Linked DNA regions of Nothobranchius furzeri. The protein of the gene in region 2 purifies or fractionates together with the protein of the main gene of each other region. This does not show direct contact. Links are inferred from orthologs where the notes say so. Each region holds a gene or a part of one and is shown on either strand. Other genes may lie near its edges. The genes, in order: snrpa1, sf3b6 and phf5a.

The links.
Region 1: the proteins of sf3b6 (region 2) and snrpa1 purify together in Homo sapiens (affinity purification with mass spectrometry; 5 studies listed by BioGRID and IntAct, with this or other methods). This does not show direct contact. The link is inferred for Nothobranchius furzeri from reciprocal best matches to the Homo sapiens genes SF3B6 and SNRPA1.
Region 3: the proteins of sf3b6 (region 2) and phf5a purify together in Homo sapiens (affinity purification with mass spectrometry; 4 studies listed by BioGRID and IntAct, with this or other methods). This does not show direct contact. The link is inferred for Nothobranchius furzeri from reciprocal best matches to the Homo sapiens genes SF3B6 and PHF5A.

The regions. Positions count from the first base shown.
Region 1 is NC_091749.1:6,237,633-6,241,384, forward strand, and holds the start of snrpa1 (U2 small nuclear ribonucleoprotein A'), read right to left. Parts: upstream 2,445-3,752; 5' UTR 2,320-2,444; coding exon 2,238-2,319; intron 2,135-2,237; coding exon 1,987-2,134; intron 1-1,986. UniProt on the Homo sapiens protein: Involved in pre-mRNA splicing as component of the spliceosome. Associated with sn-RNP U2, where it contributes to the binding of stem loop IV of U2 snRNA.
Region 2 is NC_091742.1:17,815,416-17,819,167, forward strand, and holds the start of sf3b6 (splicing factor 3B subunit 6), read right to left. Parts: upstream 2,266-3,752; 5' UTR 2,147-2,265; coding exon 2,117-2,146; intron 1,659-2,116; coding exon 1,540-1,658; intron 1-1,539.
Region 3 is NC_091756.1:28,019,823-28,023,574, forward strand, and holds the start of phf5a (PHD finger-like domain-containing protein 5A), read left to right. Parts: upstream 1-1,250; 5' UTR 1,251-1,352; coding exon 1,353-1,404; intron 1,405-1,693; coding exon 1,694-1,717; intron 1,718-3,363; coding exon 3,364-3,530; intron 3,531-3,600; coding exon 3,601-3,690; 3' UTR 3,691-3,752. Other genes in the region: l3mbtl2 (lethal(3)malignant brain tumor-like protein 2), read left to right, coding at 1-3, 80-312.

The DNA.
Region 1 (3,752 bases), on a different chromosome or scaffold from region 2:
TTATCTTGGACTTCAGGAAGGGCAGGGCCGACCCGGCCTTACTTTACATTCACGGGGACTGTGTGGAGAGGGTGCACTCCGTGAGCTTTCTGGGCGTGCAGATCTCTGATGATCTCTCCTGGACTGCAAACACCACAGCGGTGGTAAAAACTTCATGAGAGTGCTCAGAAGGAACGACCTGGAGGAGAGGCTGCTGGTCACATTCTACAGAGCCACCACAAAGGGCATCCAAGCGTACGGCATCACAACATGGTATGCAGGGTGCTCAGCTGCAGACAGGAAAGTACTGCAGAGGGTCATCAGCACAGCCCAGAAGACCACTGGATGCTCTCTGCCCAGCCTGAAGCACATTGCCAACTCTCATTACCCCAGTAGAGCAGGAACATCGAGGACTACTCTCACCCCAGTAACCATCTGTTTGACCCGTTACCGTCAGGCTGATGGTGCAGGTCACATAAAACCAGGGATAGCTTCTTTCCCAGAGCTACCAGAGTAGCAAACGACCACAAAACCAGATGAGCCTGTAAACCCGAGCCACACGTTTACTCTTACTATTAGTGTTTACTCAATATGCTAAAATTCTGCTTAACCTGCACAGAACCTGACTGATGCTGCTACTCTTTCTATACATTTGTAAATATTACTGTTGATTTTACGTTTATTTTATTCCGTATTATTTTACAAATTGCACCAAAGGGAGTGGCACTCCAATGTCGCTGTACAATAACAATAAAGTCTCTTCTATTCCCTAATACTTTTTTCTGGTCAGAATCGGCTCCTGTATGCTACTAGCCTTGTGTTTAAAACAAACCCAGTAAATGGATCGGGGCACCAGAAGATTTAAGGACGCTGGAGCAGAAACAGGTGATGAGGTAATTTCATAAAACCAACACTTCTGCTGCACTGAAGAGTCAGAGCAGCGTTTTTACCTTTAGCAGTGGTTTATTAAAGTCTTCAAGCAACCAGCCGAGATGACGCCGCAGCTCTTTCTACACATTTAATCAGACCACATCGATAACTTGTTAAGGATGACTGCACTATTCTGGAGTATTTTCACATACTTTCATGTTTGGTTTTCTGTGAATTACTCTCATATGACGATCCCTGATAACTTAATCATTTTGTCAGGGCTGGCTTTTCACTGAGCAGAGGGACCGTCTAAACCTCGTGGTAAAAAATTATTTTCATTTTGCAGAAACTCAAACTGATATTTCATTTTAAATATTTATTCCAAAAGATTACTTTAGCAGCAAAAAGTATGCAAATGTTGGAGCGGGTGACTACAGACCCCACTGATGCAGAGTCGTACCGTTCTACACGTCTTCCTGACAGCAGCTGCATCACACCGACGTCGTCTCAACTAAACGCAGATTACGCCAATGTTTTAATCTACAGCACATTGAAGAGTGACCAGCAAAAGGTCAGGCGGCCGTGACGCTGCTGCTTGCGTCTGACTCCTAATTAGTCTAGCAACATAAATGTCAAATTATTTAGTTCAATATAAGGAAGCTAAAGTGGTTTTTAAAAACGTGGCCTCCAGAATGCTCTTCTGAGTAATGGATGCCAGAGGTCTGACGGACATTTCAGCTGTCATCCCACTGTCTCTTTACTAGATCACAAATGTAACGGGTGTGGGACTCTAGTTGTGCCTCAGACTTATATATAAAGTGTTATTTATGAAGCAGGGGCAAATGATTGTGTTGAGGGGCATCAACACCCGGTTAAACAAATCTTGGAAAACCTGCATCCTAGTAAAACATCTGTTTAAATAAACAGTGTGTGTTCTTTACTGAAGGTAGTTAACTAAGGAGTAGCACAAGATGGCCAGTACGTTACTTAAAATACATTTTCTACATTTCCGATAATTACTGATATGGATCAACATGAAGTGTTCCCAGATCCTACTCGTCTCCATCATCCAGACCCTACCTGTGCAGCTCAGGGGCAGACCTGGACCATGGTGACACACAGAGCAGTGGGACTTACCAGACCCTGTTGTTGTTCATCAGCAGCGTCTTCAGCCTCTTTAGCAAAGGGAAGCCGTCCAGTTTTCTCACTTCATTATCAGAGAAATCTACAGTGTCAAACTGGTCCAGAGTAGCTCCGAGGTTTTCCACCACTGGGATCTTATAACCTAAAGATAAAGCAGAGCTAACACTGGTTAGCACACAAACACACACACACACACACACAACACTAACCTAGTCAGTTAGCCGTGGGTAAAGGCCCGAGTTTACCTCGTAAATCCAGCTCTCTGTCTCTCACAGGGTTGGTGTACTGAGCAGCCTGCTCAATCAGCTCCGCAGACAGCTTCACCATGTCGGACACGAACTTGGGCTTTTGTAACCTTTCTACAGCAAACTAAACAGTTTCACAGAGAGGTAAACGCTAACGTATTCCACGCTGCCGCCAGAACAAGAGCTTCTTCTACTTCCGGTTTGTCCGAGGACGAGTCAGTGGTAAATAGTGGTGCTACAGCGCCCCACCTGGAGTGGAGCTGGATCACTCATCAGTGCATAGGTAGGTGTTGAGTATATGGGATTAGATTTGTGCCAATAAGATGTTAAATTTAGTATATTTCCCAATAAAAAGTCCCTGTTAAGGAGCTGCAGCTCGTCTCCCTACTGGAGTTTCACAGTTTGGTAAAACTTCTCCAAGTTGGCAGACTGAGAAAATGCTGAAAAAAATCTAAGCTTTTGCTGCATTTATTTAAAGGAAAAGGTAACAGGGCTAAGTTGTTTAAATATGTGTGAATAGCCTAGCAGCAAATGAATAAAGCAGCAACCTGTAATTCCATGCTGTAGTTCTTTTTTAAACAGTTTTGTTTACCTGTTTTCCCGCTACATTTCGTTTGCAGCTGCAAACTTCCTCAGGCTGACGCTGATGGTGGCGTCACTTCCTTCTCTGTTTATCCGTGAGCAGCAGAGGATGTTGTCGCCCTCTGCTGCCCGCTCTCCCCTCTCCGACGATGCAGTCCCATGCGCGGTCCAACGTGTAAACTCCATCGTCCCTGTTCATGGTCCCACATCCACGTCACCTTATCTCGGTAGCTTCTTTTATTCATCTTTTGTATTTTTGTTGTTCGGTGTTTATGATCCTTGTGTTGTCCCAGTCCATTATATGGTTTTCTCTTGTGCAGTGATCTGTTACGGCTGACTTCTTTATTGTGATTTCTGCTTCTTCTTTTGCTGCTCTTGTGTGTTTTCGACTTGCCTCTTTCTCGCACTCCTTTCTATGTTCTATTGTTCGTGTGTTGAGTTGGCGTCCGGTTTCTCCTATGTATGTTTTATTGCAGAGTTTGCATGGGATTTTGTAAATGACTCCACATTTAAGTCCAGCTAGTATTTTGTCTTTTGGGTGTACTAGTCTGTTTCTAACTGTTGTGTATGGTTTTGTTGGTGTGTTTATGTTGTGTTTTTTCATTGTTGCTCTTATTTTTTCTGTTATGCCTTTAATGTATGGTAGGGTTATCACTGGTTTTGGTTCTTGGCTTTCTGGGTTGCTGGTTCTTTGCTTTGGTTGTTTTTTTCTTTCTGTTGTTGTTTGTTGTTTTCCTTTGTTTATTACCCATGTCGGGTATCCGCAGGTCTTTAAAGCATGTTGTATGTGTTTGTCCTCTTGTTTACGGTCTCTTTCTTCTGTTATTATGTTTGCTCGGTGATATAATGTTCTGATTACTGACATTTTGTATATGGTGGGGTGTTCTGATGTCCATAATAGATATTGGTCTGTGTGTGTTGGTTTCCTATATG
Region 2 (3,752 bases):
GAAAGGAGCCGACCCTCTTGAAGCAGCAGCAGCCATGTTTATTAAAGGTGAACTGATCGCTCTCTAGTTTTTGTTGTTAACAAAAATAACAAATTTTGTTTTTCCATCAAACTATCTTAGCTGATCCATCCATCCATTTCTGGCCGCTTATCCAGGGTCGGGTCACGGGGCAGCAGCCTAAGCAGGGAGGCACAGACTTCCCTCCACAGCTCCTGCAGGGGAATCCCAAGGTGTTCCCTGGTCAGCTGAGAGACGTAGTCCCTCCAGCGCATCCTGGGTCTTCCTTTAGGTTAGAGATGGGCGATATGGCTCAAAATCAATATCACGATATATTGAGGATTTCACCTCGATAACGATAAATGGACGATAACTACAGGTATGCGCAGTAGAGCTGTAGCGATGCATCGATGACGTCGACGGCTCGATTCTAAAAATTCGTCGACGTCAGATCCGGTGGTCGACGCACCACGCCCACTTGTTGCATCCCCAGGAGTTTGTAAATAGAGGTGGAACCTGCCTGTTTTTCCTCTAGTCCACCCTCTTCTCCGCCTTCACTAACATCTCCACCAAATACCGAAGACCCAGAACAATGTCCGTCCGCTACTAGATTCCTTTCCTGTTTTGCCCGCCTTCGTCTCCTGGCAACGGGCAACAACTTCCGGGGTCAGATGCGCAGCTCCGTCTCTACTGTGTAAAAAACTTCTAAACCGAGTTTCTGTTATGCTTCTCTAAACATTGGTTCATGGGAGTCTCTAACCTGCAATTTGCTCTTTAAGGGATTTGTCATGTAATTTGTGTCAACAAACCAATCAACTCCAGGCAGAAACAACGTCCATGAAGGTGGCTCCTTTTCTGTGTTCATCTCTTTTCAGGCTAAAGACCAAAGGTGACAGATCATCTGCTGCTGTGGCCCCTAGACTCTGGAGCTCTCTCCCTCTGAGCCTGAGATCAGTGGACTCGGTGGTCTCCTATGAAAAGCAGCTAAAAACTCACCAGTTCAAGCTGGCTTTGGTGTGACCTTCGTCACCACCCTCTCCCTATTCGGCTCTTTCTACGTATTCCGCCTTTCCCAGCAATCCACTCATTTCCCTCTTTCCTATTCATTTTCTCTCTCCCATTCCTTACATTATTATTTTTAATCACAATTTACTTATCTTCATTTTAAACATATTTTTAATCGTTTTTTGACATCTTTCTAGTTGTTTTGTTTGTGAAGCGCCTTGTGATTTTTATTTTGAGAGGCGCTACGTAAAAGATCGTTTTCTTTCTGTCTTTGCTGCTTTCTCTACGACTCTTAACTGTTACTTCAACGTGAGCTCTCTAAATACACTTAAACCTGTTTTACTTACATTTGTTTTATTTATGTTTACCGTGAAGCGATGTGTGGCTTTTATCCTGTGAAGGCTGCTTTAAATGCAGAGTTGGCTTTGTTACATAAAATTTTCTTTTACTCTGAAAATGACTTCATAATAACACACACACACACACACACACACACACACACACACACACACACACACACACTTTTTGAAAACTTACGTTCGGATCTGTCGTATTGGTCCGTATTTTCCAAAGATATCGTACATCTCCTCAGCTGTGATCTTATAGGGGAGATTCCTTATATACAGGATTCTGTTCACCTCAGGAGGTAATCGGATCTACAACACCATTAAAACACATCATTAAACTATTCAGAGGGAACAAAACTAACCTGGGTAAAAACTCAAATACCTGATACATAAGTACACACGATTACTAGCTGAGGCCTTTTAAGACTACGTAAGTCACTTAACAATAGACATGGCTACTTTTAATCATTACATGCATTAGCTTATCCTTGTTTCCGTACCGGAAGGAACAAATATTCTTAGCCTGACGATATCCCAACGAGGATTATGTCTTCACAAAACAAAAGATGAAAAAACACATGACCTCAAATGGTAAGTATAACTAAAGTGAATATAAAGCTTGAAGATTTCAGGTTTTGAGGACTGTTTTCAATTTGCTAACCTGCTAGTAGTGCGCTAATTCTTTGAGACGCTTCCTCAGAGCTAAACCTAGCTTACATTTCACATTAGCCTTTCCTTTGTCCCCTTATATGCTCCATTACACTTACATTAGCACGTTTTGCTGCTTGCATAGCCATCGTAACGATTTAATTCGTGTAAATAACGCAGATAAACAACAAACACGCTGTTTTCACTTCAAAATGGAGGCTACGGTAAAAATATATCGAACTTCCGGTTTGGAATTAGGCTACAGATACATCCTTATAACGGTGCTGCCCTCTAGCGGCGGACAAGAACCTCAACCAGCCTGGAACAATTATCCTAACTATAGAAAAATGACATTCTTACAGAAATGCTATTTGAATACTGGCTGCTGAGGCTGATAACTGAAGATGCATAAGAACTGAACAGAACCTATACTTAAGCTCAACTCAGTAAAAAAATCCCAGAGTTTCTTTCAATATAATGAATACGAATAAAATAACATTTAAAACTGTATAGCAAACAAGTGTTAGTGCACTTTTTTTAAAACATGAAAAAATATTTAGGCTAAAATGTTCTTCTCGCTCTTCATACCAGTTGGTTCCAGAATTGAAGGGAGCACTATTTCCATTCCATTTTATTTTTAAAGCACATTTTTACAGGGCCGAGGCCAACCAAAGTGCTGCACAGTAAATGAGCATAAAAATCAACACACTGGAAGAAGTAATAAAAGTAGTACAGTAACTACTATAAAATCAATAAAGACAAAACAAAAACATCGTAAAATGCTAGCTAGGCTGAAGTAAAAGCTAAGGAATAAAAATGAGCCGTCACTGCTAGAGACGAGGCGCACAGACTGAGAAGGCTCGTTCTCCTTGCGTCCTCACCCGAACTCTTGGGACCTGTAACAGGTCTGCTGACCAAAGAATTCGACCAGGTACGTAGGGCTGAACCAGCTGAGTCAAGTAGAGAGGAGCATAAAGATAGAGTTACTTAAAAACAAGAAGTAAAAATTTAAATTGGATGCGGTAGCACACCTGGAGACTATTCCCTATTCGAGTAATTTGAGCATCAATCAGGTTTTTTCAGCACCTTTAATTTTAATATTTATAAAAAACAAAACACTGATACTGCAACTAATTTTCCTCTGAAACCTCAGCAGACTTTTTAAAAGCCTTTTTTATGCACAAACGAAACAACTGAATTAGAAAAAGGGAAAAGAAAAAGGTTATTGCCATGGTAACGGATGTTGCAGCACTGGCTTATGCTGGGCTTCACTCAAACAGGCACTAAGGTGAAGCTTGGGAGATGAACATCACATCTGGTCTTCACCGAGGCCGTGACCAGGTGTAAATCACATGAACAATGCATCTTTAACACTGCTCTGACTCAACTCTGTCCCCTAAAGACTCTAACCCCCCCAGCAAGACCACGTGAAACACCTAAAAAAGGACACCTTGGTAAATGTGCACACTACATTCAGTAGGAAAACAGTCCTTTCTACCATCAGAAACCGCCTGCATAGCAGCAACATCAGGACCAAGTCCTTTCTAATGTCACGTTTTGAGGATGTTTAGGACACAAATATGCAGAAACCCAGGATGACACGAGGCTGGAGATGATGTAAAGTAAATATGCTTTATTTTGTAGAACGAACAAAAATAAATCCAAAGGCAGTGAGCCAAAAGTCCAAAAATCCAAAAACCCTGGTAACAAAAACAAAAGCTCACTGAGAGCACCAAAACCTGGAGACATAAGCTC
Region 3 (3,752 bases), on a different chromosome or scaffold from region 2:
AGAGTAAGTGAAGGCTCTTCAAATTTGGTTTAAAGGTCATTTTTGATCATTGTTGTGTGACTGGGTTGTGTCTCTGTAGTCGTTAGAGTGCAGGTGAAGGTGGAGGAGATGGAGACCCTTATCAACCCCCCAGACCAGCCTCAAAAAGTCTCGCAGTGTGAAGTGAAACAAGAGAAGGCCGAGCAGATGATCCAGTCGGGACATCAGGTGCCAGAGCAGAGCCCACTGGCAGACATGATCCATCAGACCGCAGAGAAAAGAGAAACAGCAGAAAATGGAGGCGAGCATAAAGGACAAGCTGAGCGGAGTTAAAAAAAGACAAACCCCAGAAAAAAGGAGGCCAGAAAATGGGAGGAGCATGGAAGAGATGTGGGAAAACAACACAACAAGACACTGCAGGAGGAGCTGAACCGATGGAGATATAAGCGGCTGCTGTAGATGACGTTCTGAGATGGTAACAGATGTGAATCAAAAGACGGCTGGAGCTATGTCTCATGAATCTCTGCTGTTTATAAACTCTCAGACCCTCCGACCCAAAAAGAGAGTTCAGAACTGTCTCGCCTCCCCCAAGGTCACCCTAGCTACACCCAGTTCCTCAAAAGCTTTTGTTAGTGATCAAGTCATTGTTTTTGTTTCGTTATCAGATTTGTTTTTGTGAGCAAATATCCAGTCGGGAGTAAGAGTCAGACCAGTAGGTGAACAGATGAAAACCGGCTGATCCTGGCTGCATAGACCAGGAGCCGGTATGGCAATGTGGACCTGTTTCACTAGTTAGACTAATTCACTGGCTGGTCATATTAGCCAAGTTAACTGTTTTAATGTTTGTTGGTATAATTCTGTTAAAGAAGAACTCACAGTGGTCATTGTAATGATTTGAAACTGACAAAAGTAATAAATATATACTGAAAATCCATCTTGGCTTTTGATTAGTGGTTAAACAACAACTGAAAAGAAAATAATAAAATGGACCTGGATAAAAATGTTCCCTATTCTTCATTATTTGTTGTTGAACCTTTTGAGACAGTGTCAGCAACCCAGGGATTTTTGTAATTTTATTAACTTTGCTGCTGTTCTATGGTAACTCAGAGACATTGCAGCTCGTATCAGGATGAGGCATCACCTCTGGAGCAGAGGGATAAAGAATTTTAGTGAACATAAAACTTGGAAATTTGTTTAAATTCTGGGCTAATGACAGCATTTTCACCCAATGTCCTTGTTTATTTGAAACCCGTTTTTTAAGAGTGTAGTTACAAGGTGAAGGCACTAGGTGGTGGTAGCGACTCAACTCGACACTTGCACGCCGGTCAAAGGTTAAAACTGAATTACGTTCGGCCGTCGTTGGTTAGCTGAAAATGGCTAAACATCACCCAGATTTGATCTTCTGTCGAAAACAAGCGGGTGTCGGTATGTTTCTTTACTTTATGTCGTTCGGTACCTTTGAAACTACACAGATATATCAGAAACACGTTTGATTTGCGCCATGTGTTAGCTGCTAAGCTAACTGTTAGCATAAATACTGAAATGAGTAGCGGAGCTGGACGTGTCTTTACGGTTTTCATCTCTGTTGACACTAACAATTTTATGGTTTTTAAACCCGTTTAACTGAGTATTGAACATAGAGAAGTACAAATTTATCGTTTATCCTGAAAATTGAAACGTTTAATTGAACGACTGTTCTGTTTTCCTCCCGCAGCTATCGGGAGACTTTGCGAGAAGTGTAAGTGTCTCCACTTTTAACACGTTTACTGTAAAGTCTATTTCTGTTATAGGTTTTCCTCTAGAACGTTGTGCTTTTGGCTAATTCTAACCCAAAGATCTAGCTGATTTCCTTGGAGTAAAGGCGGCTAAAAAGAACCAACCATCATAAACGCTGTTAAACCTCTAGATTTTATTTATAGGCACTTTAAAAACACCCACCTTATAAAAAACCATGCCAATGTAAAATCCGTAATGAATTTTAAAGTCAATGCAATGTAAATTTAAGCAGCATTTTTAAAATAATCAAACATAAATTTAGATAAGAGAATTTGAAAATGATCTGAGGTGTCAACAAGGAAAAGGAAGACGAGGCCTTAGGGTGGAGGTGGAGATATGCAGGTCATCGTTAGGATTTTGGATATCGAGGACAAAGACTGGGATTGGTCTTGAAAGTGAGGCAGAATCCTGTGATGATGCAAAATTGGGATGGCAGCATATATCATATGCTACACGTGGCAGAGCTTTTGACTGACTGATGTCTTTAAAGATGAGGAGCCAGCTGAGGTGGGTTGGGAATTTGGTATGGATGTCCCCTGGACTCCACCTAGGGGAAGCGTTTCAGGCATGTCCTGCCAGCAGGAGGCTCCAGGTCGACCTGCGACACATTGGAGGTACCTCCACTTTGGGCAAGGCACACCTGGGGATCCTGCTGGAGGAGGTCTTCAGAAAGAGGCAAGGTTGGGTATCTCTGCTGGGGCTGCAACCCCCGTGACCCAGACTCATATGCAGGTAAAATCTGGTGGTCATTTACAGTAATCAGGGTCCAGATGTATGGCTGTAAGTGAAGAAAACATATTTTCTACACAGACCGTGCAAACATGAATCACCTTTAGACAGTACATGCTGGACATGAGGAATAATAACGAGGTCACAACCCAAACCAAGATGTTCACCAGACTGAAACTAGTCTGAGAGAAGTTAAACTCTCAACACTGAACTTCACTAAAACTAGTTTCTCCATCCACTGAGTTCAGCGTGTCCCAGCTGGGACAAAAGAGACAACAGAAGAATGTGTTAACAGAAATTTTCAAACCTGTGGACATCCTGTCTGGACACTTGCCAACTTAACCAGAAAATCTGGAAAAGCACCCGACAGGAAAATTTTAAAGTTATTGCAAATGTTGCAGGATTATCAAAGAAACTCCAAACGTGGCATTCTGGTGCATTGGAGTCCAGATGGGACCCTGAGACAGAAGTTGGTTTAGGTGAAGGACACGAGCTGAGCAGAGTCTGCACCTGTACACACAGATCAAGGCTCAGATTTAAATCTGAGAAAGATGTCACTTCCACATTTTGCTTTGAGAAAAGTCAATGAAGCCATTAGGTCGAATAGGAAAAGTCGCAGTTAAACAGATCTCCGGTTTCACTTATCCAACACCTCCAGTGCAGCTTTGGCTCCTCTCCCACTTCGTTTCACAACCACTCACACTTAAAAACACGTGACTGAAACTCTTCCTAACGTTCCAAACACTCACAGAAGAGACGGCGGGTCAGTCTTGTGATTGTTACAGTTACCTAATAAGATCAGAAGCACTTTCACTTTATTAGTAAATGTAGAAATAATTATTGTTCCCATCACCAGCTTAGTTTCTCTTCCTCTTCCAGGTGATGGGAAGTGTGTGATCTGCGACTCTTACGTGCGACCGTGCACGCTGGTGCGTATTTGTGATGAGTGTAACTACGGCTCCTATCAGGGGCGCTGTGTGATCTGCGGAGGTCCCGGCGTGTCTGACGCTTACTACTGCAAAGAGTGCACCATCCAGGAGAAAGATGTGAGTCCTCCTCTCGTACGCCCAGCTGTGTCTGCAGGAACGTCTCTAAATATTTTGTTCCTCTCTGCAGCGAGATGGCTGTCCCAAGATCGTAAACCTGGGCAGCTCCAAGACAGATCTGTTCTATGAAAGGAAGAAGTACGGCTTCAAGAAGAGGTGAAGACAGGAGAAACACCGAGTTCATAGTCGTTTTTTTTTTTTCCAAAAACTTTTTCTTAATAA